4 linked regions of the Ovis aries genome follow. The main gene of each other region encodes a partner of the protein of the gene in region 2 in a complex. Links are inferred from orthologs where the notes say so. Each region holds a gene or a part of one and is shown on either strand. Other genes may lie near its edges. The genes, in order: MAGOH, CASC3, UPF3B and MAGOHB.

Region 1 (7,999 bases), on a different chromosome or scaffold from region 2:
TGTGGGCTTCGTGCCGCCTTAGACCAAGGTGCCAGTGACCTGCTCGGTGCAGGGCTCCAGAACACGCACACATACTGAGTACATTCAGTGTCATATGCAGAGCAGGAAGCTTTATCTTATTTGTAAGATTTCTGCACTGTGGGTAGCTGCTAAAACACTCACCTGCCGGCCCACTCGGTCAGGAGGAGGCCACAAAGCATCATCCTCTTTGGTAATTTCACTGTCATCAATTATTCTTTTCAGTTCCTCCATCACACTTTTATGTACATAAGCCTGAAAACAAGTTAAAAAACAGAATTTAAATTGTATCTCTAAGCAGCGTTCTGACTCAGATAGTGATGAAAGATTAAAAAAAAAAAAAAAAAGACTAATGAAGATTTATTTCTGGCACCTCTGTAAAAGTGAAGACATTCCAGCTTGACTTCAGCATGCTAAGAGGACGGCAGGGTCAGAAGAGCCCAATGACTACACCTCAATCCCACATCTAGTTGTTTGTTTCTTGGTATATCCTGTTCATATGGACCTACTCCTTACCTATTTGCACACCTGAGCCCCAAAGAAAGATCTGTGAGTAACTCAGGTTATTTTAAACTAAATGACATGCTTCTGAAGAGCAGACACGTCTTTTACATTTTACTTTTAAAAAAAAGTGAAGATGCTGACATGTATGGGTAAGCTTAATACTGATCGCTAATTAAATATTACAGTATGAAAATATACTATTAAGACATTTTCAAATGTGACAAAGCAATTAAAAGGAAAGAATGGCTTTAATGAAGTTCAATGGTGTGGCAGAAATCACACCAAACACGGACTTCACAAAGGCAGGCAGAGGTCTAAATTCCTGCTCAGTTTCTTACTAGGAAAAGTAACTTTGAACAAGCCCCATAATTGATATATAGGTCTTCAATGTCTTATCTGTAAAGGATATGTAACACCACCCATCATAGAGGCTTACAATAGGGGTTAAAATAGGACTACAGATGTGGTACCTAGTGTCATGACTAGAATCTAACATGCATTCAATGTTAAGTGCTTTCCCACACTCCCCTTTTGCCTACTCAAATGCAAATTAAAAGAGCTCTATTGAGTGCTAGGTACCAGGGAATGCAGATGATACCACCCTAATGGCAGAAAGTGAAGAGGAACCAAAGAGCCTCTTGATGAAGGTTAAAGAGGAGAGTGAAAAAGCTGGCTTAAAACTCAACATTCAAAAAACTAAGATCATGGCATCCGGTCCCCTCACTTCATGGCAAACAGATGGGAGAAAAATGGAAACAGTGACAGACTTTATTTTCTTGGACTCCAAAATCACTATAGACAGTGACTGCAGCCATGAAGTTAACAGACACTTGCTCCCCGGAAGAAATGCTATGACAAATCTAGCTCAGTGCCGTCGCTCAGTCGCTCTGACTCTTTTCGACCCCATGGACTGCAGCACACCAGGCGTCCCTGTCCATCACCAACTACCAGGGTCCACCCAAACTCATGTCCATTGAGTCGATGATGCCATCTGTCGTCCCCTTCTCCTCCCACCTAGACAGCATATTAAAAAGCAGAGACATCACTTTGCTGACAAAGGTCCGTATAAACAAAGCTATTTTTTTTTCCAGTAGTTATATACAGATGAGAGAGCTGAACTATAATGAAGGCTGAGCGCCAAAGAATTGATGATTTTGAACTGGGTGCTGGAGACTTGAGTCCCTTGGATAGCAAGAAGATCAAACCAGTCAATCATAAAGGAAATAAGTCCTGAATATTCATTGGCAGGACTGATCTTGAAGCTGAAGTTCCAATACTTTGGCCACCTGATGCAAAGAGCCAACTCATTGGTAAAGATTCTGATGCTGGGAAAGATTGAGGGCAGGAGGAGAAGAGGCCAACAGAGGATGAGATAGTTAGAGGACATCACCAACTAAATGGACATGACTTTGAGCAAACTCTGGGAGATACTGAAGGACAGGGAAGCCTGGTGTACTGCAGTCCATGGGGTTGCAAAGTCAGATATGACTTAGCAACTGAACAACCACCACCAAGGAATATATCAAACACTAAGTTAGTGACAGGTATGTTTCTCAGATGAAGCAACTGAGACTTATCAAGCTCAACCAGGAAATTTTCCCAAGGTCACATGTTAGTAAAAGATTCAAGGTTCAAAACCAAGATCTGCAAGACTTCAATGATTACCAGTTATTAACTCATCACTATTAAAGAAAAACTAAAAGAGGATTTGAGAAAAACTTTAGAAGCCGTCTACAGAGACATTTATACTTTCCTATTCTTTATCTTTCAGTATTACTCCCAGATTGGACTTCCCTGGTGGCTCAGACGGTAAAGTGTCTGCCCACAATTGCAATGCAGGAGGCCTGGGTTTGATCCCGGGTCAGGAAGATCCCCTGGAGGAGGAAATGGCAACCCACTCCAGTACTCTTGCCTGGAAAATCCCATGGATGGAGGAGCCTACAGTCCATGGGGTCGCAAAGAGTCGGACACGACTGAGCGCCTTCACTTTCATTACTCCCAGAAAGAATAAAAACAGGACACAAGGCTAAATGGTAGTGAATGAAAGGCCCTCAGAAGATTCATTACCTCTTTTCTGATCATGACATCATTTTTGTAATTGCTGTTGTTGGCATATCTCAATTTCCCTGTGAGGGACAAAAAACAAATTCAATATATAATAAAAACATAAAGAAAGCGTCATTAGCCTACCAAGACTATCAGCTATTGCTTAAAATGTATCCTAACTTACCCTTCAAAGTGTCTAATAGTTTTAGTATTTACCCCTCTGGTGTTTCAGCAACACTAGTCTTTTCAGTTTTTCACTTTAGGCTTTGGTGAACAAAAAAATGCCACCTGCCTTGTCAGTAAACAAAGGCTGTTGAAGCCATTAAGCCATCAGCCACTGCAGCCACACCACCCCCAGCCCCTTCCCCAAGGGTGCACTCTGAGGGGATTCAGGATGTTGAAAACAGGATGCTGGTCCTGGACAGTTAAGGTGAATATCAAAGGAATGATTTCAAAGAGCCCAGCATCCTCCCATACAAAGAAAAATGCTAACTTCATTAACTTTAGATGTCTGGTATTTTATTAACAGTAACCTTTAGATGTTCTACCTGTTTTTTGTTTGTTTTGGGTTTTTTTTCCCCTCTAAAACCTCCTATATATCCTGGCTCATCCCTCACCTCTTCAGAATAGTCCCTCAAAGCTATCTGAGAGCCTGTCTCCCAGGCTTATGTCCCCAGTGTTTCCACTAAATAAAACAATTCTCAAACTTTAAGTTATTTATTTTTTTTCCCCAGTGAACACTATTAAATAACCTTCTAGCCAAAACTACAGCTGACAATGATTTACAATTCTTGCAAAAGACAGCTCAGGTGTGATAAAAGAACAGACTCTTGTGACTGGCAAATTGTATCTCAGCTGGCTAATGTCCTCAGCTGAAAATAGGAGTGATTGATAACCTACCTACACACAGGGCCTTCAGAGGCTCAAAAGAATTGTGAAAGTTTCTGAAAACTATAAAATGGTTTTTACATATATTTACATATGACTGTGAAACACTGATCTATTCCTTTTCTAAACATGATAGAAAAGCTGTGGTTTTATTATTGAGCATTTTTGGTATACAAGGCCCTCTGTAACATTGTTCATCAAACAGGCTGATTTGGGTATATATGGTGGATATGAAGAAGATAAAAGGAAATAAAGGAGATAATTTTTTCCCTATAGAAGGCACACTAAAAAGAGTGAAAACAACTGATGCCTTACTGCACTGTGTCTCTGCCTCAAGTCTCTCTCCATTCAGTTCATTCTCCGTAGAGTGGACAGAGTGAAACAGTAACAGATGGATCCAATTGGGTCACTCTAATATTGACATTTTAATACTGACAACGGCTCCCCACTACCTTCTTGATAAAGTCCAAAATCCTCAATGTGGCTTCCGGCTAAGCTGAGCTCATTTCCAGCCTCATTCCTACAACAGGACTCTCACACAGAGCTGGAGTTAACCAAAATACAGTTCACCCGTAAACGATGTATGGGTTAGGTGCCTTCTTTCCACTCCCAGAGTCTTTTCTGTTTCTTTCTACAACACCTTATACACTGTCTTATCATTGTTAACATAACTTTCTCCACAATTTGGGCTTGTCAGTTCATTCATGGGGTCCCAAAGAGTCTTAGCAACTGAACTACAAGAAGCTCATTTTTTATGCCTTCATTTAGTGGAAGCTTTCTGCCATCTTTCACTCCTTTTCCTTCACCATATTGGTCCCTCACCAAATCCTATCAATTGGCAAAGTCCTATTGGTTCTGCCTCCAACTGTATCCTAAATCCTTCTCTACTTTTACTATCACTCTAGTTCTAACCAACATCCTTTTTCTCTTAACAATTGTAACCATCTCCTGTTATAGTTCTAACCAACATCCTTTTTCTCTTAACAACTGTAACCATCTCCTGTTAAGTAGTTTTCATTCTTGCCTATTCTGCACCTAATAATTACAATACTTTCTCAAAAATAGATTACACCTCTGCTTAAAACTTCCCAATTGCTTCCTGCTGCACTTAGAAAAAAAAATCCAAACTCACCAAGACTGTATGAGGTGGCCCCTGCCTACCTAATTGACATCATCTCCTACTATTCTCCCCGGAGTTTTCACTGCTCTTCAGCCACAATGGCCACCTGAAACATGCCTAGCTCATCTCTGCCTAGAATGTTCTTTTCCCGAGCTGGCTCCTTCTTTGTCAATCAGAGCTCAGCTCGAACACCGGCTCTTCAGCGAGTTCTCCAATAGCTATCCTTCCTTAAAGCGGCCCATCAGCAATTGTTCCATCATTTTATTTTCTGATCACTCAACACTATCTGGGATATTTTTTTGTTTACGACCTCCCAGTAAAAGAATACAAGCTCCACGAGAGAGGAAGCTTGTTTATCGTTCACTCCTACACCCCAGATTGTGGAAGTGAGACTGGCACAGATAGGTGCTCAAGAAAGGTTCGTTGAATAAAGCAATATGGTCAAAATCGTCACTAAACAGAAGCCCCAGCACACGGACAGGAAGAATCAGTGGGGCGGACAAGGATCGTTCCTTCCAAATCGGCGCCTCACACCCTTGGTCCCTTCCTCTAGTTTTTCGTACATTACGGATCCCCGGCCCCCCCACTCTCCCGCCCCCAGGCATAGTCCTCGCTCCCGGGGAGCCGGGAGGCTTCTCTCACCGTCGGGCCGGAACTCAAATTCCAGGAATTCGTGGCCGAATTTGCCTTTGTGCCCCACGTAGTAACGCAGGTAAAAGTCACTCTCCATGGCTCGCAAAACGGAGACAAGACCAAACTTTTAAGAGCAATCCGCACCGCCGCTAAAGGCGCCCAACACTGACGTTTACTGCGGCGCGAGGAAGTGACGTTAGGAAACGTCATCGTGCGTCGCGGAGCGACTCCCTCTCTCCTCCCACTTCCGGAGATGGGACCAGGCGACTTTTCCCTTCCCGCCGGAATAAAGCCCCTTTCCCCCGGAGGCGAAGTCTGTTCAGCTCCGCCCCCTCGGCCTGCGACTGGGAGAGGGTGAGGGCTGTTCGTCAGTATCCCCATTGGGCTTGAGGCCCAGGCTCCAGTTTCAATTAGGATACCCAACAGTGTGAGTCGAAATAGGCCCTTCACCGTCTCTGAACCTAGGTCGTCCCATCAGTAAAACAGGGTTAAAGGATCCGACCTCTTGGGAGAACGCAGCGCGGCGCGGCGCGTCTCTAACGTTGGCTCCGACTGAACTCTGCTGTTTAAAAATCAGTTCAAGAAACTTCTCAGCGACGCTTTCCCTAAATCCACAGTGGACCTTGCCATTTTTTTTTTTTTTTTTTTGCAACTAACTCTCCCGCACTTATTCTCCATTTTATCTCTTTCTACCTCACTTTTTCCCCTTTTTGCCTCACTGGTCTCTAGATGAGTTGTTGTGAGTAAGAGTTAAGTTTTGAATGTTTGATCTCCCACTCCATCCGCGCAATTGAATCGCCTCGGACGGAGCACCTAAAAAATACTGGTTCCAAACCAATAAAGCCAAAATCATCCACAGTGAACCTGTGTGTTGGTGTTTACTTTTTCTCCGCAGTTTGAATCAGGACTGTGAACTACTGTCCAGGAAGCTCGTGTGTTTTCAGGCCTAAGTGGTTGACTGCGAATGTTTTCTCGGCTGTGGAAAATTTTTTCCTCCTTGATTAGGCCAAGGGCAACTAAACTCTTATTAGAAACCTGCTTTAGCTCGTCTAAGTTCCAGCCAAATGGAAAACGGATTTGTTTCTAGAGACAGTGCTGAAATGGCATCATTTTGAGGGCCTGCGAAAGAGTCAGACGCGACTGAGCACGCGCGACTATAGCACTATTCTGTCTTCAGGCTGCTTGCCATTTCCTTCTCCAATGCATGAAAGTGAAGTTGCTCAGTAGTGTCCGACTCCTGGCGTCGTCCCTGAATCTCATTCCCAATCTTGCCGTTACTACTTTTCTCCCCGAAAAAGTATTGATAATAGAATGAAGAGTGGGTGCTGGGGTGGTGGGTGGGGGGAATGTCACTGGAGATTTGTGTTAAAATAATCCCTCGTGTGACAGTGATTCACTGTGACCAAAGGTGAACTGATTAAACTTTTTGGACCTCAGGTTTCTTATCTTTAAAGTGAGCATAGTAATGTTCACTTTTCATTTTCATGCATTGGAGAAGGAAATGGCAACCCACTCCAGTACTCTTGCCTGGAGAATCCCAGGGGCGGGGGAGTCTGGCAGGCTGCCGTTTATGGGGTCGCACAGAATCAGACACGACTGAAGCGACTTAGCAGCAGCAGCAGCAGTAATGTTACACATCTGGCAGAACTATTGCAAGAATAAAAAACAATGTCTTGGAAATTGAAAACTACTTTTCAAACTCCAAATTGCTATAAGGCATCTTATTAAAAAAACACTGGATGTGGGTGGTAACAAGGGACTTGTATAAAAAAGATAAGGGAATCACTTAATAAATGTCAGCCCCTAGGCTGAGTGTGTTTAATTTCTTTGAATTTTCTTTGAATTTTCACAACAGTCTTGAGGTGGTAATAGAGTTAAGTATTTAGAGACATTGGGTAATTACCACAGGGTTATTTTCCAAGAGTGAAATTATAAAAATTATAATGTAATTGATGAATCTGGGCATCTGGAGACATGGCAAATATCAAAAAGTGATGAGAAAATTTAAAGGACACCCAACTCCAATCATGCTGTAAGGTAATTTCAGGCTTGGGGGTATGAAACCACATAGTAAAGTATAGCTGAAAGAGCATGGTCTATGTGTCTAATGTGTCTGAAAGTGAAAGTGAAGTTGCTCAGTGGTGTCCCACTCTTAGCGACCCCGTGGACTGCAGCCTACCAGGCTCCTCCATCCATGGGATTTGAGGTTAGCATAATTTACTGAGCATCTACTGTGTGTCATGTGCTGGGAATACAGTGATGGCAGTCAAGGAGCATATAAGCAATTATAATGTAGGCATCAAATTTATAAATAGGGGAAGCACAGAATACTATGGCAGCTCATGCAGGGGCTCCTAATTCAGTCTAGGGGACAAAGTTAAGTCTTCCTGAAGAAAATGTTCCAGACAGAGGGCTCAGAACTTTTTGGTTATAATACAGAAAAAGAAAAAAAAAAAGTTGAGAATATAGTAATTCAGTTGGAGAAGAGGTACAAGACTAATCACAAAGGACCTTATAACCCATGTTAAGGAGTTTGGGTTAAAACCCAAGGCTGTTGGATTTAAATGCAAGGAAAACAGATGAAGGGCTTTAAGCAGGAAAGTGGAAAGGGGTGTTGGTGACAAGACCGGCTGCATTCTAGAAAGATCACTCTGTGCAATGTTGTAGACTGGATTGTAAAATGGAAAGATTAGAAGAAGGAAACTCACAATGGAGATTAAGATGAAGCCAGAAAGGTAGGGGAAAAATCAGGAGTATGGTATCATGGAAACCAAAATAAGAGTATTTTAA
Region 2 (7,991 bases):
AAATGTTTTTACCTATACACATGAAGAGCTGAACTTTTTTATTAACTCGAATAGCCACATATGGCTGGTGACTATCCTATTTGACACAACAGAACTACACTCCTCTCTTAAATTTTAGGCAACACATACCAGATATTGCCACATCAACGCTGCACCTGTTCCTCAATCTCAAAACATCCAAAACTTAACCCAACACTGTCCTTCCCGGAATCTCTTCCTCCTGTGGTCCCTTTCTTAGTGACCAACACCATTCTCCAACCTGGGCATTACTTGGACTCCTTTTTCTTTTTTTTTGCTATTACAAATGTATTGAACTTCAACATTATTAGCACAATCTTTTTTCTTAAGGTAACAACACTTTTTTTCCCCTTATAATTACTAGTTTTTACAACAGGAGCTGAATCTCACATGTAATGAAATTGTATTATGATACTTTACTTATGAAAAAAGATTTCTCCAAATGATAAATGCTCAAATGTAAAGGGTAAAGTAGAATTGCAGTGTTAACACAGGAATGTGTGTCAAAAAAACCAAATTAATTTAAATAAGTCATTCTAAATGTTAACATTAGAAGAACTGGGTGAAAAGCCTGTGGAACATCTATATTCTCTTTGCGATTTTTTTTGTAAATGCAGAATTACTCCAAAATAAAATGTATTTAGAAGAAAAGTCCTTGCAGTTCTATTTCATTTACTAATCCAAGGAAAGTTTATTGAGGGCCTATCACAGATACTGTTCTAAGCTCCCAGGATAGAACAGTGACAAAGACAGTCTCAGCCCTCCAGGAGCTTGCATTCTGCTCAGAGCTGAAGGAAATGGATATTAAAATCTGAAGGTTGGATTGCAGACAGGTTATGTGAGGCAGAAGTCAGTCTTGGGACAAAACAACAGAGGACACTCATGAGCAAGAGTCAAAACATTCAGCATTATTCTAGGGCTTTGGATGAAGCTAGAGAAACCCAGATCACCAAGCTCCCTCACCCCATTCCCTTCCCTCACCATGCTGTCGCTGTTCTTGTCAGTAAACTTTCTGGCTCTATCACAGGCATCTGGTCAGGTCCCAGCCCTCACCTGGATCAACATCTCCCTTCAGGAGAGGTCAAACAGTGCTAGGCATCTAAAGCTTATAGGAACCAAAACGGCAGTCTTTCCAGTTTCAGCAGAATTCTCTTCTCTGACTCCTTAATTCAGGCTCCACATTCAATCAATCAAGAAATTGTTATTAATAATAATACCTAAATATCTCTCAAATCTACGTCTTGCGGTGCCACTGCCATTGTCCCTTCTTTAGGGCACTATCACGCTCCTTGGACTACTCTCTTAACAGCTCTGTCTTCAGTCTTCCCTCATCCTCAGATCCTCCTCCAGTTAAGCCTCCAATAGCCAGCCTTTCTTTCTTTGCTGTTAGAGTAACATCCAAACTCATTATATACATAATGGTAAACTGCTACAAAGTCACAATCACCAAACCTCACTGAATACTCCACATTGCCTGGCAGCCTTTCCGATGTTTCCATTCTTTAATGACTACTGCAAACATTACTCACTCCCAAACCTCTCATCCTCCTTTAATTCTTTGTGGGTAACTTTACAACTGACTTCACAGAAAGTCAGTCAACCACCAGTCACCACGTTTCGCCATCCCACAGCCTAAATGGCTGCCAGTGCTGCCCACTTCTGTTGCCACTGCCGCCACATTTTCTGCTTTCCTAGTCTTCCACAGTAGCTTTCTTAACTAGTTTTTCTGCCTCTAATCTTGCTCCCTTCAGATAATTCTCCCCACTGCACACAAAACAATTGTTAAAGACAATAATTTTAAAATATTACTGTGAATCAACCTGGGATGTTGTTAACATATAAATATCTGAGTCTGCCCTCCTGCAAGAGTCTGTTTCAACAGGATTTTCTTTCATGTAGACGTTCCTTGGATCTGACAAACACTGCTTTAAAATTTAAGTCTAATCCATACTCCATATCATACTCTTGTTTAAAACCCTGTTTTACTTTCTTAGAATAAAATCCAAATACTTTTTCAACCAGGCTTATAAAGTGCTTTAAGATTTAGACTGAGATTCATCCTTACCACCAGTTATACTAAATCTTCCATGTCCTGCAACTCACTATCCTCCAATCCCACCCCTTCTGGACGTTCTTCTCGGACTGTTTCCTCTGCTAAGAAAATTCTAGCTAGCTAACTCCTACTCATCATTCAGGTCTCTATTTGAAGAGTCCCTCCTGTAAATACTTCCAAACACCCTATACTCAGTTAGCTGCCCCTGCCATGTGCTCCCAAAGCACCCTATGCGTCCCATATCATGGCATTTAACAAAAGGTTTTTGTAATTACTTAACTGTCTGTATTTTCCCTCTCTGATCTGGAATGTAAATTCCATGAGAGCAGAACCATGTATCTTTTATTCCAGGGCCTAGCACAGCTCCTGGCACTGAGAAGGCATTTAATAAAGAGAAAGAAGTAATCCCTGCATGATCTGACCCCTACTCTATAATTTGCCTTTATTTCTGGTATCCATCCTGTCCCAACGATGTTCCAGCCACACCAAACTACTTCCAAGTTTCCAGATAGTCAACCTTCCCTCCTATCTCTGAGCTTTTGCAGCTATTGTTCCCTCCGCCTAGAACATGATTTGCCTGGCTAACTCCAATTTATTCTTCTCTGACTGCCTAATATGGAATCAGTACCCAGTCATTAACACCTTATTTAACCCAACCGCCAGCAGTTGTCACCAAGTCCTATGATTTCCTCAATGTTTGTCTGACTTCCTTACTAAGCTGTAAGATTCCGAAACATAGGAACTTTGTTACAGTGTTCACTTTTGCATCTCCAAGGCTTAATGGTAATTCTAGTATGTAGTAACAGTTCTACAAAATTTACAGAATGAACCTTTGAATCCACAATCCAATTCTTTCTGTATAAATCAGAGCTCTATTCAACAGTTCCAGGAAACAAGTAGTCATTCTGATAACATCTCTAGTTTATCCAATCAAAGCAAACTAAGTTCACAAACATCTGGCTTAGGGAAACTTTCTGCTAAAGACAGAAAACCTCATCCATAAACTGAGAAATGTTTCTGACACAAACCACTCAGAATCCTACCCTTCTGAGGTCTTCAGATATACTCAAAAAAAATACCCAAATGGTTGGTTTCACCACCGAGGCATCATAAAACGGAGTGTGAAACAGCCTGTGAAGGGCCAAAGAATGTTCTCATTCTCATATTTAGCATCTTATTTTCTTTAGATAGGGGGAAAGGTCAGCTATTAACAGTGTAACACATGTGGCCTGAAGAGGTTTATACAAAGCTTCCCTCTCTATAACTGAACAACACTTTTTATAATAGTTTTTCAGAAGCATAAATGAAGAATGCACAAGTGGAGTAACAAACAGGTCAGATGCTTTCAAACCACAGGTGGGTACAATTTTTAAAACACATTTTCCAACCTACATCATAGGAAAAAGAATCTATCACACTCACTTCTGAATCTTCTGCACTTTCATAATCCGAGAGAACAGCTGAAAGAAAACAGAAACATATAAAGAAAAAAAAATGGAACAGAAATTTTACAAATACATCTTCCAGTGCTTGTTGTGGGTCAAGCTAAAACTCTCATTTAATCCTGACATCAACCTATGAGTCCCCATTTACAAATGGAAAACAGGTTTAAAGAGTGACTTTGACTTTCCCAAGATCATACAGCTAAAACTTATGCTCTTGAACGTTAAACTACAAAGAGCCCCTTTGTGGCACCCTCCCCAAAACCCTTAACAGTCTGCTGCTGCTGCTGCTGCTAAGTCACTTCAGTCGTGTCCGACTCCGTGCGACCCCATGGACAGCAGCCCACCAGGCTCCTCCGTCCCTGGGATTCTCCAGGCAAGAATACTGGAGTGGGTTGCCATTTCCTTCTCCACTGAACAGTCTGAGAGGATGTCAACTGCTGCAGACAGGTGACCTGAGTCTGGGGGCAAAGATCTCTATCATGATGCTACTCACCATCGCCCTCGATGCCATCTTCACTCTCCTGAAGGAAAGAAGACATGGGTTAGTTCTATGATTTCCAGGGGGTGGAGAAACGAAGAATGAACACAAAATGGTTGAAAAGGGAGACGAGGGAAGGTATATCTTTAACAGACAAGATCTGAGGGAGGCCCCATCTATCCACCTCCAGTTCCAATTTCTGAATAAATATCCGCTTTCCATCCGCAGCAGTTCCGCCTGTCCCCCAACAAACCCTCAATCCCTTCTCTTCCCTTGGAGCTCCGGATGCAAACCGCACCGGGATCGCTCTCCTCTTCTCCAACACACTACGCCTCAGCATCTACAGTCAACTCCCAGCCTCCCATCACCACCTACACCCCGCCCCCGGTCCGCCCCGCCCGCGCGCACTCACACACTCCGACTCCTCAGCGCTCTTAGCGCCCCCGCTCTCCACTCGCCGCAGATGAAGGGCCCCAGCTCGGCCTCCGCGCTGGGAAGGCAGAGAGCCGCTGCCGCCGCCTTCAACGCTACCGCTGCAGCTCCCGCCGCCCCGCGCCGGGGAACCGCCGCTGTCTGAGCCGGAGGCACCAGATTCTTCGTCCTCGGTGTCCTGCGAAGCGCGCTGCCGCCGCCGGTCCGCCATCTTACGGAGAACGGCCGCCGCTGGCCAGATCCTGACGTACCCCGCCCGTCGCAGGGGCTGCCGGGAGGCTTGAGAGCCGGTCCCAGCATGCTTCACTTGCGGCGCTGTTCGCCCCGTTTTTCGGGGGGAGGGGCTAGGGGCGGAGCTGGCACGCTGCAGCACGTTTGCGGGTGCGCGGAATTGCGTAATTGGTGACATGAGGGGGCGTGGTGAGGCCCCTGACTTCCCGGCGGTTGGGCCCCTGGCGAGGAGAGTTGCTCTTGGGCGGGCAGTCGGCTCCGGTCCTTGCCCGGCCATCTTGGGCTTGAGTGGATAGTGTTGACCTGTCACAGCTTCACTGCGGCATTAGAGTTGTTTTATGATTTTCTTTTTCATCTCTCATTTCTACCTACGTTTGAAGCAGATCGTTTGACTGCATTCGTTTGCTTAGTAAAAACCACGAATCAAGAAACCTCTGAAGCCGTTGTGCTGCTTGAGATTTATCAGTCTATTTTAAACTAAAGGGCGGGGGAGAAACCAGTTGTCTGTAGGGAAGCCCGAGGATTTAGTGTTGCAGCAGTAGTGTTTCCCCTGTATTCTCATTTCTTCCCCCTTCATGTGTCTTCCCACCCCAGCCATCACCTCCCTGAAAGTGCAGGCTAATACGATGTGCTTCGTCGCTCAGTCGTGTCCTACTCCTTGCGGCCCCATGGACTGTAGCCCACCAGGCTCCTCTGTCCATGGGGATTCTCCAAGGAAGAATACACGGACGGGTAGCCATGCCCTCCTCCAGGGGATCTTCCCAACCCAGGAATTGAACCCAGGTCTCCCACATTGCAGGCGAATTCTTTACCGTCTAAACCAGATGGTAATCTTACTAAAATTTTGGAACCGACTTAGAGATAATCATAGGAACGGGCATTGGTTTAATATCCCGAAATGATTTTCTTGCCAAGCAGGTAGATGACAGAATGCTGTGATTTTAGCAACACATTTTTCAGCAAGGAAAAAAAATTTGTATATTTTCTCTGTACCATAATAAAAAACATATAAGAAGCATGAGCTAACTGTGCACCTAAAGGAGTACACAATAATATACACCCGAGGAAAGTCACTATCATAGCACAGGACTCTGTCCCGTGTAATGCTTTTACAAATAATATGGTCAAGGCTACTGATGCTTATCAAATTTGTAGACATTATGAAACTAGACGGTATTATGAATGCCTTCAGAGATAGTCAGGATCCAAATAGAGCTCAACTGGTTAAACAAGTGGTCAAATGTGACAACTTGTAAATACAGGTCCAAAAACCAACTGCTTGGGCTCAAAATGAAGGATATATGATTTTTAAAGTGTTAAAAAAAAGAAAACCTAGAGGATCCTATCAATCACAAAGTAAATTGATATAGTAAGGTTGCCAAATTTAGTGTCTAAATAAGTAAAGTGATAGTCTGCCACTTTGCCTTTCAGTTGTTTGGTCTGCATTCAATTTTTAAATGGACTTGAGCAAATTGTTCACTCATCCAGAGAACTGAAACATTCAAGATTCTTTTGAGGAACAATTGTAAGAGCTCTGAAATGTGAACCATGAAGATTGGGACTGCCACAGCAAAGTATTTGAGGGACTATGAGGAAAGGAGGAATTGATTTTTTTGTCACCCTGGAAAGCAAAGCAAGAACCAGTGGGCTCAAGTTACAAGAACTTAGATTTTGTCAATGAGGAAGAGTTCTCTAACATTTAGGAAAAACTGGACAGGAGAAAACGAAAGTGTTAGAGAAGAAGCTGGATTTCATTTGTCTGGAATGTTGTCAGAGGGAAATCATGTACTTGGGTCAGACTACATGACCTATAAGGTCCTTCCAGCTGAGGTTTTATTAATTAGACACCAGGCACCAACCATCCTATCATCTCTTATTGTTTTTTAATTGCCCATTATCTGTAAGGAAGAACCCAGGACAAAGAGATGGAACATACACTGTGTTCATACACAAATGGGAGTTAGTATCTCATATAAAAGGGAAAATGGTGTTTTTCTATTTTGTGAAAGTGGATTTCTTTTTCTAGTGCTTTAAAATATCCAAGCAAAACTGTTTAATGCTTCCCAATAAATCTAATAAATTGAAGCAGAAGTTCAAAAATTAACAGCCACAATAGTTTATTTACAGTTGAACTCTTTATAAGATATTTACAAGACAACCAATTTTACACATCAGAAATGGTATCAAAAGTATGAATTACAACACAGACAACAATATGAAATGGGCATAAAACAAAGCTGAAGTGGACAGACAAGCAATTTCTTTTTTTAATTTATTAACACTAGCTTAAACTTTGTTAAAGAAAGAAACAAAGAACTATGTTTTAGGAGAACGGCAGGGCCTTCACTTGAAGATTGAATTTCACAGTGTTGTATCCCATGTAGGGAAAAAATAAGACTAATTTCCCCCCACACTCTGACACACTGTCTTTTTGCTCTTGGAACTTTGCTCATCTACTCTCCAACCTCCTTCTCAAAAAAACTTCAACATGTCCAAATCAAAGGAGAATTGATCTAGAAAAGGGGGCAATAAAATAAAGAGATACTAGGTAGAGGGAAAATCAAGGAAATTAGAATCCACATAAGTCTGGCCAAATAGCACCTCATGGATTCCTCTTAGTATAACTTGAGTTCAGAATCTGGGAAGTCCCTTGGGTAGGAACAAAGGTGATATCTGCTAACCCATATCCAAAGGAATCCAACAAATGCTGAAAATTAAGAAACTGAGAGGAATCAAAGAATAAAATAAAGAGACACTGACTGGTCTTTTTTCTTCTTGGGCACATTTTAAAGGAACATAACATAGGTCAGAGTAGGAAAGCCAAACAGTTTGCCATATTAAAATGATGGTAGAACAAAGAAAATCTGGCCTAGTTTTTCTAGAAATCTCCTTCCTCTCCTTAAGGTGTGAGATGAGAGCCCCTAGTGGAATAAGTCCTATTTCTCTCTACATTCTTGCTGCAAAGAAGTTCACAGCAGGTTCCCTTGTGGAGAGCCCACTCTCCTAAGCAGATGGAGTTACAAATGAAAACCCATAGCCACACACACACACACAAAGGAGAAATAAGAGCAGCAAGATCATCCAAGAATACTACATGTGCTGCCCGAGTAATTCCTTTAAAAGTCAAACTCAGGGAGCACAGACCAACATCTCACGAAAAGCTTTAGCAGTGGGAGGCCCCTGAGGAACTTTTTTCTTCCCTTCCCACAATGGTATCCCATTCTCTCATGCTCCACTGATGGGCCGGCCACACACCCTACATACCTTGGCTTCTCCTCTAAAAGTGCTAATAATCTGGGGACATATTCTCTTCAAGGATAAAAGCCCCTACCTT
Region 3 (7,464 bases), on a different chromosome or scaffold from region 2:
GAGCTCCTGGCTGGTAAAGCTGCATCGCTGGGCGATCCTAAAGTAAAATGAAATGCTCATGTTACAAAACTGCTACTAAGCATGTCCAGGGGAATATATATACCAGTGAGAGCCCACACGAGATCAAAATTTGAGGGCACAGTACATGACAGTAAGTGTTGATGGTTACTTGGCTTCAAACTGCCTGCTTCCTTTCCCCTACCTACAAAGAAAAACAACTATTTCACAACTATTTATTTTTATAAATAAAAAACAACTATTTATAAGCAATAGTTATCAAGTATTATTTTATATGCCCAGAGTAAATTTTGATAAGTTTACTGCCTAATTTTCTTTACTATCTCAAGATGTTCTGAATCAGCTTGAATAGTTTTTATTTAGAAACTGTGGTTGTTGTCTACCTCTCCTCCCCATCAGTAAATGGATTTTAAAATGCACCGCCACTTAAGAAAATTTTAGGAGTGAAAACAATAATAAAGAATGCCAATTCTTAATACTGCAAAGTCCCTGAAGTTATGAGCTCAGACACTAGTAACTTAGCACAAATATGACTCTCTCTTAATTCAGATTTGACAAGGTGACAACCCAGCTTGAGAATCTCTAGGTAACACTTTACATCTCAGGTTCCTAAATAGGCCTCAATATCATCACCAGGTACCTCTCAGTTCAAGTAATGTGTTTGGTTTATCACAATATGACCCTGGAAAACTTAAATGTATAGGCCTTTTTTCCCCTAATTCAACAAAAGACAACATGAGCCTTCCTTGTCCTTTCTCCCTGACATATGAAAGAGCCTTAAAGCATTATTCTCAAGCGAGTAATTCCAGCAAAACATTTCACTGTTTTAACAAGAAGAAACATTAAAACAGATGAGACTGCCACATAGTATTTAGAGAAGCTGATGATGGGGCTGCCAGTGTGCAAAGATAGTACAAGTTAAACGTCAACAAGGGCAATAACTGATAATAACAAGTTGGAGTTCACCAAGTATTTCTAAATCCACAAGTTATTTAAAGACTAAGCAGAACAAAACTCATTGATAACCCCTACAAGTTGCTGGGACACCAACGCATTACTCTGAATACTGTAAATAAAAGGAATGGATCAAGTGCTATTTTTGCCTTTCCTGTGTGAACTGAATTTCAAGACTAACCAAATAGTTGATAAGGGAAAACAACTCTCTGTGGAAGAATTTCAGATCATAAATGCAACAGGAAAGGCAGAATTTGTATATATATCAACATTTTCCAATCTCTCCCTATGAAATAATGAATCTAAACAACATCATTAGGAGAAAGGCTGACAAAATCTTACATGGATCAGGCTTACAATACCTGAGCTAACTGATCAGCCATTTTTCCAACTTTTTATCTCAAAAAATTTTAAATCTATAGAAATGTTGCCAAACTTGTACAATGAATACCTAATACCCTTCTCCTAGATTCATGATGATTAACATTTTGTCAAAAATGCCTTTGCTGTCTCTAGTGTGTATGCAGGCACACACATACATAGATACATTATTATTTTTGCAGAACCACTGGAGAATAAGTGCTTGTGTATCAGCTTGTATATCCTCGGAGCAAGGACATCCTATCACATAACCATAATACCATTATTATTGATCATATGATTCTTCATTGGTAATATTTCAGCTTGTGTATCCTAAGAGCAAGAACATCTTATCACATAACCATAGTACCATTACTATTGGTCAATCTTAACATCACAATAAACGGATACCAAGACATTGTATGCTTCCTGATACAATGCAGTAGGAACTGCACACCACCACCTATCAAGTATTCTTGCCAACAATTGGGTCTGAATATATTAAGGCCTCTAGATGAGGGGGCCACCCACCTCTTTCTGTGAAAAAAGTTTGGCTCTCAGCCATGCTTATTCTTTTACATGCTGTTTATGCCTACTTTCCTACAAAGCTTACTGGTTTTGACAGAGACCACGTGGCCCACAAAAGCCTAAAATATTTACCATCTGGCCCTTGAACGAAAAAAAATTTCTGACCCTGCTCTAGATATGACTACTGGTTTTCAAGGAAACATAGAAGGTAGCGGAACATGTTCAGTGTTACCACAGGGATATAATTAGCCACTCTGGACTATTAGACGCTCTAGAGGGCAAACTGGTTTCTGCAACAAAGAAATGGTAGAAAACGAAAGGAGGAGGAATTACTTAGATTAAAAGAGACTTAAAATCGGATCAGTTTCCGGAAAGACTGATAAAAAAAAAAAAATAAAAATAAAAGAGACTTAAGGGAACATTTCAAGCAAATACAATTTGTGGACCTTGTTTAGAGCCTATAAAAAAGATGTTAATGAAAAGAGATGTTAATGAGACAATTGGGAAAATCTATACATTGGGTAGATAGGATGCTAAGGAGTTATTGTCAGAAATTCTTCTGTCTGGTGTGAAAATGCTATTAGGGTTATTTTATTAAGAAAAATAATATTAGGGTTATTTTATTAAGAAAAAACCCTGGCAATCCAATGGTTAAGGCTCCACACTCCCACTGTAGAGAGCATGGGTTTCGTCCCTGGTTGGGGAACTAAGATCCCATATCCCATTTGCCTCACAGTGTGACCAAACTTTTTTAAAAAAAGTCTTTACTCTTTACATATTTACATATGTCTTTACATATTTAAAGAAGAAATTATCTGTCTAGGTTTTGCTTGAAAATAATCCCATAGGAGTAAGATGGGGTAGAGTAGAAAGAAAATTGGCCACAAGGTGATAATTGCCAAAGCTGGGTGATAAGTACATCCTACTACTCCTCTGTTCTCTCTACTTTTGTGTATGTTTGAAAAGTACTGCTACTGCTGCTGCTAAATTGCTTCAGTCGCGTCCGACTCTGTGTGACCCCATAGATGGCAGCCCACCAGGCTCCCCTGTCCCTGGGATTCTCCAGGCAAGAACACTGGAGTGGGTTGCCATTTCCTTCTCCAATGCATGAAAGTGAAACCTGAAAGTGAAGTCGCTCAGTCATATCCGACTCATAGTGACCCCATGGACTGCAGCCCACCAGCCTCCTCCGTCCATGGGATTCTCCAGGCAAGAGTACTGGAGTGGGTTGCCATTGCCTTCTCCGTTGAAAAGTATACACAAACTTTAATAAAAGGACCCCACCAAGACTGAAAAAAGATACAGATAAAGTTCCCCTAAAATTCCATAACAATGAGCTAGCCCTCTCCTTTATACTTGCAGGAAAAGACAAAGAAAATCCTCATGAAAAGAAGTTTAATGAAATGCAGCACCTTGTTTCTTATGCGATCTCTCTTAACCACTTCTTCTTTCTTTTCAGTTTTTTCTGAGCTGCCTACTGGCTCTGTACTTTCAGGCTTCTTTCCTTTATCCCGAAGTGTTTCTTTCTCCTTCTTCATTTCTTCTTCCTTTCTCTTGAAAGCCTTCTCTTTCTCATAGCGCTCCTTCTGCCTCCGGCGCTCTTCTTCCTGCCGCTTCAGCCTCTCTCTCTCCCGCAGGATGCGCTCTTGGTCTCGATCATAATCCCGCTCCCTCTCCCTGTATTCTCTGCCACTCTCATCTTCAGGTCTGCACGAAAAACAAATCTGAGAATGCACCCTTGAAGCTCTTCTAATCACAAGGAACACTCTGATCCTGCCTTGGCCACTCCAACGAGGCTGAACTTTCGGAGCAGCATTGAAAAAAACAAAAAAACTACTATTTTGAAAAGCAATTTGGAAAAAAACCCCAAGTCATTCAACCAGATTAAGATACTAAAATACTTGAAACCTGTCCTCCTCATCCCCATACCCCTCATAAAACCCAGTATCTTGATTCAGGTACAAGTCCAGAATGCAGCAGTAAAACTAGCAGCCAGAAACAGGTCGAAAACAAATGTACCCAAGAGCCCTCGACTACCGACCTCTTAGGCTTTTCATCTTTAAATTCACCCTCAGAACGCTTGGGCAATGTACAACTTTGCCCACTGGCTCTTTCATCACTCAGATTCTCTTTGTCCAATTTCTTGAGCTTTTCTCTTTTGTCCAATTCTTTTTCATCTCCTTTTTCTGGCTTCTTGAGCAGCTTTAAAGAGAACAAACTTAGGTTTATTTTGAAGGATGGGATTGTCTTCTGATTCTCGCAAAGAAAACAATATACTAAATATTTTCAATGCAGGCTACTGAAGGCCCCGTCTCTGCAGTACTCAAACTTTCAGGTGAACAAACAGTGCACAAAGAGCAGTAATTTGCTAAAAGGGTGCTATTAATGTGAAAGTGTTATGCACTCCAGTGAAGTGGTTTAATCACTTTGTGGCAATAGGATCAAGACTCCTTTGGCTTTAAATGGGTCAACCTTTGAGTAGATCAACCCTTACTTTCAAGTATGCCTTCTGTAGCAAGCCAGCATATCGGTATAACTTGATAGGAAAATATGGTACAAATTTAAAATGCTAGCCAGGTCATTATTGCTGGACTATTTTTACACAGTTATTAGAACAACAAATACCTTGTCACCAAAGGAGAGATCCATTGCAGGAATAATTTTGCCTTGAGTCTGAGAGTAGCTACATACTTATGATGGTACAATCATACTATCATTAGAGATGATAAGCAAGAATTATTTGGCATTTGATTTAAAAATCCAAATATCTCATACAACAGAACTGTGAAGTTCCATCTCTACTGAATAGGAACTGTTCAATGTCATATGTATATATGACAGAATGCAATTCTAAAAAAAGTGGTTTATAAAGTTCAGATTGTTAACAGAAGTTTATTATGCCGCTTCTACAAATCTCTCTAGAATACACCCCCAAGTGTTGGATATTCAGAGAGATTTTTAGGAATTTCAAGTCTCAGAGTGAAGGCATCATACAGAGTTTCATCTCAGTGTGAAGGCATCATACAAGCCACGAAGCTAAAGGCAAAGCATCGCGCATGAGACTTAAGCATGAAGTATTTCAGCACACAGACAGCCACTGAAAACAGTGAGTCCAGAGTGGACACTATAGAGGCACCAGTGCAAAGTGAGGATAACATGTGCAGGTTTCATTGCAAGTGTTCTTATTTCTCTAATGAACATCTTCGTCAGGAGCCAAGATGTTCATTATTCTAATAAGACTATTAACGAACGTCTCTAGCATAGCCGGCTTGACCTTCTGCCTTGCTGACAGAAATAGCGAGTCAGGTTGCTTGTAGCAGGGCAGACACAGAGATTGATAGAAGGAATTAAGACGAGAACCTCCCCACCCTGCCACCGCCAAGCCCCTTATCACCAGTGAGTCCTGGAGAGCCTCGGGGTGCCCTAGCGACTTGACCGGCTGAATTCTGAGGAGGTAAAAGGAGACTCAGCCATCATCTCTGTGAGATTTTCTCTGACTTTCTCTGCCATACTATGTACAAGTACTTCCCTGGGCAGTTTGCTGGAGCAAGGGCTGCCCAAGCCAGGCCCCTGGAAGGGAAGCAGCTAGGCTGGAGTCTTTCCACAGGTTTTCCTCTTCCTACATGCACTGTGTTAATCAGAATCTGCTGCTCACAGATTCCCAGGGAGACCCAAGAAGGTAACGTGGGGAATCATGTGAGAGGGGAGAGGATGTATATTCCAAAAACTCCCACAAGGCAGCCAGGTATGAGAGGTGTATAAAGGAAGGGGAAAGAGCTCTTAAGGCATGGCTGTCCTCTCACTGCACATTGTTGAAGCTTCTGGGTACACAGCAGAGCATCAGGAAATCATCTGGGTTTCTTTCTAAATCAGGAATTTAAAACGGTTCAGCTTTTAAGACTCAAGTCAGCCTGAGGGCATTTTCTACAGGTAACACTACCACCACCGCCACCAAAAGGACTTATTAACTAAGACCTGTGTGTGTGTGACATGATACTAGGTGCTCTGTATCATGTACTTGGTCCTTACATTTTTCTGATTCACAGCTTGTAACAGAAACCTGTGTACCTGAAGACAGTGGAAAACAAACAGATGAGGCAACTTCATGTATCAAATATGAAGGAAAAGCTGAATAAAACCCATAATTCATGCCAGCCAGCCCTACGCCCTTATATATGAACTGAGAGAATAATAATCCAAAATCGAACATTTTCAATGATTATAAATAACACTGCACTAAAGAAATCCCATGTAAACTACTTAATCTTTTAAATTATCTTAAATTAAGAGTAATACATGAATATTACAGGAAAGATTCACTCCCTCCCAAAAAAGACAAAAACAAAACTAAAATAGTTTACACCAATACAAGATGCATGCATATTTGAAGAAGTAGATATAGTACATGCAATTTTCAGCAACATGCAGTCGGTTTAACTTATGTTCATACCTTAATCTTTGGTTCATCCTTTAATTTGTCCCTTTCTGGAACTCTGTCTATCTTCTTTAGCTTTTCTATATCTTTGCGTTTTCGTTTCTCTTCTTCTTTCCACTTTCTCCTCTCTTCTTCTCTTTGTCTTTTTCTTTCTATTTCTCGCCGCCTCCTTTCTTCTCTCTTTTCTTCTCTCATCCTCTGCAAAGAAACATCAACAGTCTTCAGACAAGGTAATTACCACCAAAAACATAGTTCAGAAAGTACGGTGGGCACCCACTTAACTGTATCATCTTTCCTTCCCACTTTCCACTTCCTTAACCCCCTCCCGACTCCATTCAGAATATGAGAGAGAAAAAGACCACAGCCTGCTCATCAGTTTCCCACTGCTGCCTTGCTACAGTATCCAATTCAAGAATGCCACTGGAACAAGCTAAGGAACCCCTAGCTCTGCAGAGTGAATCTATGGTCCAACAACCAGAGTGAAGGAGCAGGTCAGAGAGCCAAATATTTAAAGAACAGTGGTAGAGAAAGCAGCTATCCCTACTGTACGATCCCAATGCTCTTAAATTTACAGAATGCGAACCAATGAAATAGAAGTATTGTGAGAACCAGAAAAACAAAAGGTTTACCTGCTTGTTTTTCAGGAAGCTCAAAAGTGGAGTTGTCTTTTTAGCTACACAAATGTAAACAGATTATTAATAATACTTAATCAAACCCTAGAAAGGAGTCCATTTTCTGACATTCCCTGCCAACCACCCGAGGTGGGAAAACTACACCCCTCAAACAGTAAGTTCACAACTATCTTATTGGAAAGAAGTTTTATAATAGTCTACTTAAATTAGGAAGGTTTAAAATATTAAAAGTTAAGAAATTTAAATTAAAACAATAAAACAATTTTTAAAAAGAGCAATTCCTGGTGTCAGTGAGAATAAGGTGTGAAGGACATTCTCTTGTTTTACAGATGGGAGTATAAATCTGTTCAACCAGGAAGAAACTGGGATAAGGGGCTAAAAATATCTAATACTTTTGACCCCGTAATTCCACTTCTGGGAATTTATTTTATGGAAACTATCAGAGGTGGGCTTATATTATGAAAGTGAAAGTCGCTCAGTCGTGTCTGACTCTTTGCAACCCCATGGACTATATGGTCCATGGAATTCTCCAGGCCA
Region 4 (7,514 bases), on a different chromosome or scaffold from region 2:
TTGTGTACAAAATTAAGTATAAATTTTTCTCCACATTTTATCTGCAAATCTAAAATGAAAAATTAAGAGGCTATGTCTGTATTAAGTTTTCAGTTTAAATTAACAGATGCCATTAAAGACATTCCCAGATCTGTATTTGATCAGAAAAGATCTAATTATGCCCCTTTATGGCACACACACAGAATGGATAATTAACTAAGACTCTCAAGCAATCAAAATCTTTGACCTAAAGATCCAAGAGACAACTTCAACGGCAGAAGTAATCCTCCCCATTATCCAAAACACATGAACACATGATCAAGTGGGTAGATGAAAACACTGCTCTCTCCTTGAGTCTAAGAGATAAATAAAAGGTTTGCTGCTATTGTTTCTGATTTTTAATGCCTATATATATATATGTGTGTCTAAAACAAATGGAAATTTAAATTTACTTCTTAAAAGTGTTCACAGTGAATACAATAAATACTGTTAACTATTACCTTTGCTTTCCTAAATAATGTTTCTTTAAATAGAAGCGTTAAGTTACTGCTACAGAGCATCAGCATCTATTCTCCACATTTTCTTCTAGTCAAAGAAGTTGTTATAGAGTATAATCCTCAGGAACACACAAAAGCGAAATTAAGTGTTTCTTCCTCCTGCAGTCATATCTCATTCTTCCAGCAGTTGAAAAGACCCAATTCAGAAATCAAACTGTCTTTCTACAGAGTGAAATCAGGCCTTCAGAGCTCTTCAGCAGCTCTTTGAGAAATATCAATTTTTCTGAAGGGAATATGACAGGCAAAGGCAATGGTCAGTTTGAACAAAGAAACCAATCAAATCTCTCTGGAGTGTAAAGAAGCAAATACGAATTTTCAAAGTTATATATCTGGAGAAAGTGAATTTTACATAGTGAGAATCCTAATTCTCAAATTCATCAAACATTTGAGTTTTTTCCTACCTATTTTTATTATTTATTATCATTGGGCTTCCCAAGTGGTGCCAGTGGTAAAGAATCTGCCTGCCAGTGCCGGAGATGCAAGAGACACAGCTTTGGCTTTGACCCCTGGGTCAGGAAGATTCCCTGGAGGAGGAAATGGCAGCCCACTATAGTATTCTTGCCTGGAAAATCCCATGGACAGAGGAGCCTGGTGGATTACAGTTCATCAGGCAAGAACTCATTAGTCCTTATAAAAGTACTTAACCTATAATGGAAATTAATTCTAATACTGTGAAAACACCCTAAGGTTAGCTGCGGTGGCTGCAGAGAAGACTGTTCAGAAAGATGTCTAAACTGACTCCTTTATTACTAGGAGGTAGCTCACAAATTGATGCAAAGTGAAATACAATTATAAACCATTTACCAGGTGCCTACTAGATGAAAAAAATCCAAGATTCAATGAGGATCTATTCTAGATAAATAAGGAGAACCACAACAATTCTATTAATAATGTTTACAATTTATGCATTTAAAGAATTATTAAATACAAACCTGTCGGCCAACCCTGTCAGGGGGAGGCCACAAAGCATCATCTTCTTTTGTAATTTCACTGTCATCAATAATTCTCTTCAGTTCTTCCATGACACTCTTGTGTACATAAGCCTGATAGCAAGTAATAAAAATGTTAGGGTCTATGTCTTGACACAACTTAGACAGAAATAATAAAACGGAGTTACAAACCCTGAGTATTTAAATAGAATATTAAAGAAAAATTTAATTCTGATTCTAAAAGGAGAGAATCATTCATCCTTCTTATTGCTTTTTCTTCACTCTCTTGCCCTTTCCTTTAAAACATATTTTTCCCCCTTTGTATCATTATTCCCTCCTTAAAATCTTGTATCAAATATCTGAGTGGTTAACACAAAATTTATGAGGTGAACGGTGTCAAATTCAAATACACATCACAGTGCGGGGAACTCTTTCTTACACCTAACTTTTGAGGCTTTCATTTAAAATGCATCCTGTGTTTAAAACATTATTGTCAATTAATTTTAAATAATGAGCAGAGTAAAAAGACCAAGTTAATTATAAAATGAATTAACTTATATGCTCAAATGTGAGACTACAACTTAATATATTCAGATTGATTCTTTTGCTGTTATAGATGCTACAAAGAATCCTTTTTCAATCTATAAATCAGCCTCTTCTCTATAGCCTTGAATGTGAATGTGAATGTGAAGTCGCTCAGTCGTGTCCGACTCTTTGCGACCCCATGGAGTGTAGCCTACCAGGCTCCTCTGTCCATGGGATTTTCCAGGCAATAGTACTGGAGTGGGTTGCCATTTCCTTCTCCAGTGGATCTTCCCAACCCAGGGATCAAACCCAGGTCTCCCGCATTGTAGACAGACGCTTTACCGCCTGAGCCACCAGGGAAATCTTATGTGTACTTTAAACAGGTAAGTAAAAATACAGACATGAGGAAAACAGGCTTAACACAAAGAATTAGACATCTGAAAAGAACGTACCTCCTTTCTGATCATGACATCATTTTTATAATTGCTGTTGTTGGCATATCTAAGTTTTCCTGTAGGAAGTACAAAAAAATTCAACCTATAACAGCAAAAACTGCTAAAGATAATAATAAATAAAGAAATGACATCATAAGCAATTTTGAAGGTAAAATCTATATTACACTACTACTTTTATTAATATTTGCTCCCTCCTGGCATAAGATCAATGCTGGATACGCATTTGCTGTTATGCTGGCTGAAGTTGAAGCCAATCAACTGTTTATACTCTATGCCTTCAATATAATTTCATATTATAAGAGAGTCATTTTCAAAACCCATTTTCTTAAGCAACATCATGATTTACATAGGGAATCTCAAAAAAGAACTAATGTTTCTTCTAAAGTTTACCTTACTTTATTGTGATTGTCTTATTTATGTCTTATTGGTGCTGAGTTACCCAGAGCATTTCATCTAATCTGTAAAACAACCCTAAAAAGTAGGTTTCATTCTCTCACCTATACACAGTTAAGAAAAACAGAGAGTTAAGTAACTTGCTCAGAGTCACACAAGATTCAGACTTAAATCTACTTTGTACCAATATACACGCCTTTCTAACGACTCCAAAATGTTCTCATTTATTTTCCTTCACTTCAATGTATTCTGGTAATGCTACTATTTTAGAACTGTAATTAAGAAGCAATACAAACTACATGCTGCTTCCAAATAAAAACTGGCTAGTTTGTTTTCTGATTTACATTGAATGTACGCTTCTCCTCATGGCTGGTCAGTTGCCTAGGTACAGCTGTAACGTGATCCAGATCCTCTAAAATGAGAGGTTATCTTAATAAGGTGAATCTCTAAGGAACTGCTCTCTTTGGGTCTCATTATTACTGACAGAAAGGTTATGAAACAGTGGTGGCAGATGAGAACTACTGTTCTGAAATGAAACTTCCCTGAAAATAGTCAATCGAAGATTAAGAAGCCTCTTATCCTTAACCATCAGAAGGCAGATAGAATGAAAACCATAATCACAGAAAACTAATCAAACTGATCACATGGACCTCAGCCTTGTCTAACTCAACCAAACTATGAACCACGCTGTGTAGGCCCACCAAAACATATAGGTCATGGTGGAGAGTTCTGACAAAACGTGGTCCACTGGAGAAGGGAATGGCAAACCACTTCAGTATTCTTGTCTCAAGAACCCCATGAACAGTATGAAAAGGCAAAAAGATATGACACACAAAAGATGAACTCCCCATGTCGGTAGGTGCCCGATATGCTACTGGAGAAGAGTGGAGAAATAACTCCAGAAAGAATGAAGAGACAAAGCCAAAGAGAAAACAACTCCCAGTTGTGGATGTGACTGGTGATGGAAGTGAAGTCCGATGCTGTAAAGAACAAGACTGCATAGGAACCTGGAATGTTAGGTCCACAAATCACGGTAAATTGAAAGTAGTCAAACAGGAGATGGCAAGAGTGAACACTGACATTTTAGAAATCAGTGAACTAAAATGGACTGGAATGGGTGAATTTAATTCAGATGACCAGTGTATGTACTACTGTAGGCAAGAATTGCTCAGAAGAAATGGAGTAGCCCCCATAGCCAAGAAAACAGGCCAAAATGCAGTACTTGGGTGCGGTCTCAAAAATGACAGAATGATTTGTTTGTTTCCAGGCAAATCATTCAATATCACAGCAATCCAAGTCTATGGCCCAACTACTAACGCTGAAGAACGTGAAGTTGAATGATTCTATGAAGACCTACAAGACCTTCTAGAACTAACACCCAAAAAAGATATCCCTTTCATCATAGGGGTCTAGAATGCAAAAGTAGGAAGTCAAGAGACACCTGGAGTAACAGGCAAGTTTGGCCTTGGAGTGCAAAACGAAGCAGGGCAAAGGCTAACAGAGTTTTGCCAAGAGAACACACTGGTCATAGCAAACACCCTCTTCCAACAACACGAGAAGACTCTACACATGGACATCACCAGATGGTCAATACTGAAACTGGACTGATTATATTCTTTGCAGCCAAAGAAGAGAAGCTCTATATAGTCAGCAAAAACAAGACTAGGAGCTGACTTAAATTGAAAAAAGTAGGGAAAACTACTAGACCATTCAGGTATGACCTAGATCAAATCCCTTATGATTATACAGTGGAAGTAAGAAATAAATTCAAGGGATTAGATGTGATAAACAGAGTGCCTGATGAACTATGGACAGAGGTTTGTGACACTGTACAGGAGGCAGTGATCAAGATCATCCCCAAGAAAAAGAAATACAAAAAAGGCAAAATGGTTATCTGAGGAGGCCTTACAAATAGCTGTGAAAAGAAGAGAAGCTAAAGGCAGAGGAGAAAAGGAAAGATATACCCATTTGAATGCAGAGTTCTTCCATAGCAAGAAGAGATAAGAAAGCCTTCCTCAGTGATCAATGCAAAGAAATAGAGGAAAATAATAGAATGGGAAAGACTAGAATTCTCTTCAAGAAAATTAGAGATACTAAGGGAACATTTCATGCAAAGATGGGCTTAATAGAGGACAGAAATGGTATGGACCTAACAGAAGCAGAAGATATTAAGAAGAGGTGGCAAGAATACACAGAACTATATAAAAAAGTTCTTCATGACCCAGATAACCACAATGGTGTGATTACTCACCTAGAGCCAGATATCCTGGAGTGCAAAGTCAAGTGGGCCTTAGGAAGCATCACTATGAACAAAGCTAGTGGAGGTGATGGAATTCCGGCTGAGCTACTTCAAATTCTAAAAGATGATGCTGTGAAAGTGCTGCACTCAATATGCCAGCAAATTGGGAAAACTCAGCAGTGGCCACAGGACTGGAAAAGGTCAGCTTTCATTCCAATCCCAAGGAAAGGCAATGCCAAAAAATGTTCAAACTACTGCACAATTGCAATCATCTCACATGTTAGCAAAGTAATGCTCAAAATTCTCTAAGCCAGGCTTCAACAGTACATAAACATATACTTCAGTTTTATTGACTACACCAAAGCCTTTGATGGTGTGGATCACAATAAACTGTAGAAAATTCCTCAAAAGATGGGAATACCAGACCACCTTACCTGCCTTCTGAGAAATCTGTATGCAGGTCAAGAAGCAATAGTTAAAACCAGACATGGAACAACAGACTGGTTCCAAGTTGGGAAAGGAGTATGTCAAGGCTGTATATCATCACCCTGCTTATTTAACTTCTATGTAAAGTACATCATGCGAAATGCCAGGCTGGATAAAGCACAAACTGGAATCAAGATTGCCGAAGAAATATCAATAACCTTAGATATTCAGATGACGGCACCCTTAGGGCAGAAAAGCAAAGAACTAAAGAGCCTTTTGATGAAAGAGGAGTGAAAAAGTTGGCTTAAAATTCAACATTCAAAAACTAAGATCATGGCACCTGGTCCCATCACTTCATGGCAAATAGATGGGGAAACAGCGGAAACAGTGGCTGACTTATTTTTCTGGGCTCCAAAATCACTGCAGATGGTGATTGCAGCCATGAAATTAAAAGACGCTTACTCCTTGGAAGAAAAGTCCTGACCAACCTAGAGAGCACATTAAAAAGCAGAGACATTACTTTGCTGACAAAGATTCCTCTAGTCAAAGCTATCGTTTTTCCAGTAGTCAGGTATGGATGTGAGAGTTGCACTATAAAGTAAGTTGAGTGTGGAAGAATTTATGCTTTTGAATTATGGTGTTGGGAGAAGACTCTTGAGAGTCCCTTGGACTGCAAGGAGATTCAACCAGTCCATCCTTAAGGAAATCAGTCCTGAATATTCATTGGAAGAGACTGATGCTGGGAAAGACTGAAGGCAGGAGAAGGGAGCAACAGAGGATGAGATGGTTGGATGGCATCACTGTCTCGATGGACATGAGTTTGAACTTAGCTTCCAGGAGTTGGTGATGGACAGGGAAGCCTGATCTGCTGCATTCCATGGGGTCGCCAAGAGTTGGAGTGACTGAACTGAACTGAAGATTAAGAAAAGACTGTTTCATCCATGTGACTGGCTAAAATTGACCAGCTAAAAGCTGGTCACATGCCAAGACCCTGAAGACAGTATAAACCCAGGGATTGAACCCAGGTCTCCCACATTGTAGGCAGATGCTTTACCATCTGAGCCACCAGGGAAGTCCAAAGAAAGAAAAGATAAAGAGAATTCAAGTAAATTTGGCTCCTGAGCTAAATTTAGAAACAACCTGAGGGGAACCAGGAAGATTAGGGATTAAGGTTCCTAAATAATTGCAGAATGTAGTTACCCTGACTTCTACCTGATGTATCTGATATTCTTCCCTTTTGCTAGTATGTGAACCTCCCCTAATTTTTCTTTCATGCCCTCCCAGAACTTTGTCCAAAGCATGAACACAGCGCCTAATATGCATACCGCTTTACACTTAGTTTTATGTTTATGTCATCCACCAAAATATAACTCCTTGAAGGGAATGAAAATGTCTTATGCACTGCTGTACCCTCAATTTTTGTTTTTACGTGTTGCCCAGCACATAATATGCATTCAAAAAAACAGTCTATGCAGTTGGACTACTGTTGTTACAATAACAGTTCAATATACAGTACAACTATCTAAAGAGAATTAGTTGTCAAAATATAGAATTTGCTGCATATTTCTTGGGCAACTGGCAGTTTCACCTCACCCCGGGCCCCCTTCCCCGCTCTTAGAGCGCTCAGGAGTCTGACGCCTTTTCTCCCAGAGACCAAGAAAATACGTCTTCTCATTCCAATACTCATCTCAATGGTCGCCTTCTCAAAAAAGATTTCCGACTCTTTCATGAAGAACTAACCGCGCCCCCTTTTAATAGTCTTAATGCATCCAATAGCGAACAACTGTATTTAAGCACCCGAAAGACATCATTACACTCGTTTTTCTACACGTTGGGCTTCCCACCTCCAGAGCATTTTGCTTTTCTGCCTTCCATACAGTGCCTGAACGAGTAAATTAATTCAGGATGAATGGGCCGTCTGAAATTTACTATTTAAAGGAAGATTTTAAGTGTCCATGGATCCACCGCTTGGTGGGGATGTCAAAAAATGTCCAAGTATTAGGTTAATTAA

What was found.
Region 1: CASC3 (region 2) and MAGOH share a complex: the UniProt entries of both Homo sapiens proteins name them as parts of the mRNA splicing-dependent exon junction complex. The link is inferred for Ovis aries from reciprocal best matches to the Homo sapiens genes CASC3 and MAGOH.
Region 3: CASC3 (region 2) and UPF3B share a complex: the UniProt entries of both Homo sapiens proteins name them as parts of the mRNA splicing-dependent exon junction complex. The link is inferred for Ovis aries from reciprocal best matches to the Homo sapiens genes CASC3 and UPF3B.
Region 4: CASC3 (region 2) and MAGOHB share a complex: the UniProt entries of both Homo sapiens proteins name them as parts of the mRNA splicing-dependent exon junction complex. The link is inferred for Ovis aries from reciprocal best matches to the Homo sapiens genes CASC3 and MAGOHB.

What each region holds. Positions count from the first base shown.
Region 1 is NC_056054.1:27,771,728-27,779,726, forward strand, and holds the start of MAGOH (protein mago nashi homolog), read right to left. Parts: upstream 5,377-7,999; 5' UTR 5,307-5,376; coding exon 5,219-5,306; intron 2,649-5,218; coding exon 2,590-2,648; intron 274-2,589; coding exon 163-273; intron 1-162. UniProt on the Homo sapiens protein: Required for pre-mRNA splicing as component of the spliceosome. Plays a redundant role with MAGOHB as core component of the exon junction complex (EJC) and in the nonsense-mediated decay (NMD) pathway.
Region 2 is NC_056064.1:40,180,568-40,188,558, reverse strand, and holds the start of CASC3 (protein CASC3), read right to left. Parts: upstream 5,080-7,991; 5' UTR 4,935-5,079; coding exon 4,407-4,934; intron 4,038-4,406; coding exon 4,010-4,037; intron 3,532-4,009; coding exon 3,494-3,531; intron 1-3,493. UniProt on the Homo sapiens protein: Required for pre-mRNA splicing as component of the spliceosome. Core component of the splicing-dependent multiprotein exon junction complex (EJC) deposited at splice junctions on mRNAs.
Region 3 is NC_056080.1:114,677,027-114,684,490, reverse strand, and holds part of UPF3B (regulator of nonsense transcripts 3B), read right to left. Parts: intron 6,969-7,464; coding exon 6,925-6,968; intron 6,494-6,924; coding exon 6,311-6,493; intron 5,929-6,310; coding exon 5,890-5,928; intron 4,063-5,889; coding exon 3,902-4,062; intron 3,568-3,901; coding exon 3,273-3,567; intron 38-3,272; coding exon 1-37. UniProt on the Homo sapiens protein: Involved in nonsense-mediated decay (NMD) of mRNAs containing premature stop codons by associating with the nuclear exon junction complex (EJC) and serving as link between the EJC core and NMD machinery.
Region 4 is NC_056056.1:204,665,065-204,672,578, reverse strand, and holds part of MAGOHB (protein mago nashi homolog 2), read right to left. Parts: intron 2,502-7,514; coding exon 2,443-2,501; intron 1,580-2,442; coding exon 1,469-1,579; intron 1-1,468. UniProt on the Homo sapiens protein: Required for pre-mRNA splicing as component of the spliceosome. Plays a redundant role with MAGOH in the exon junction complex and in the nonsense-mediated decay (NMD) pathway.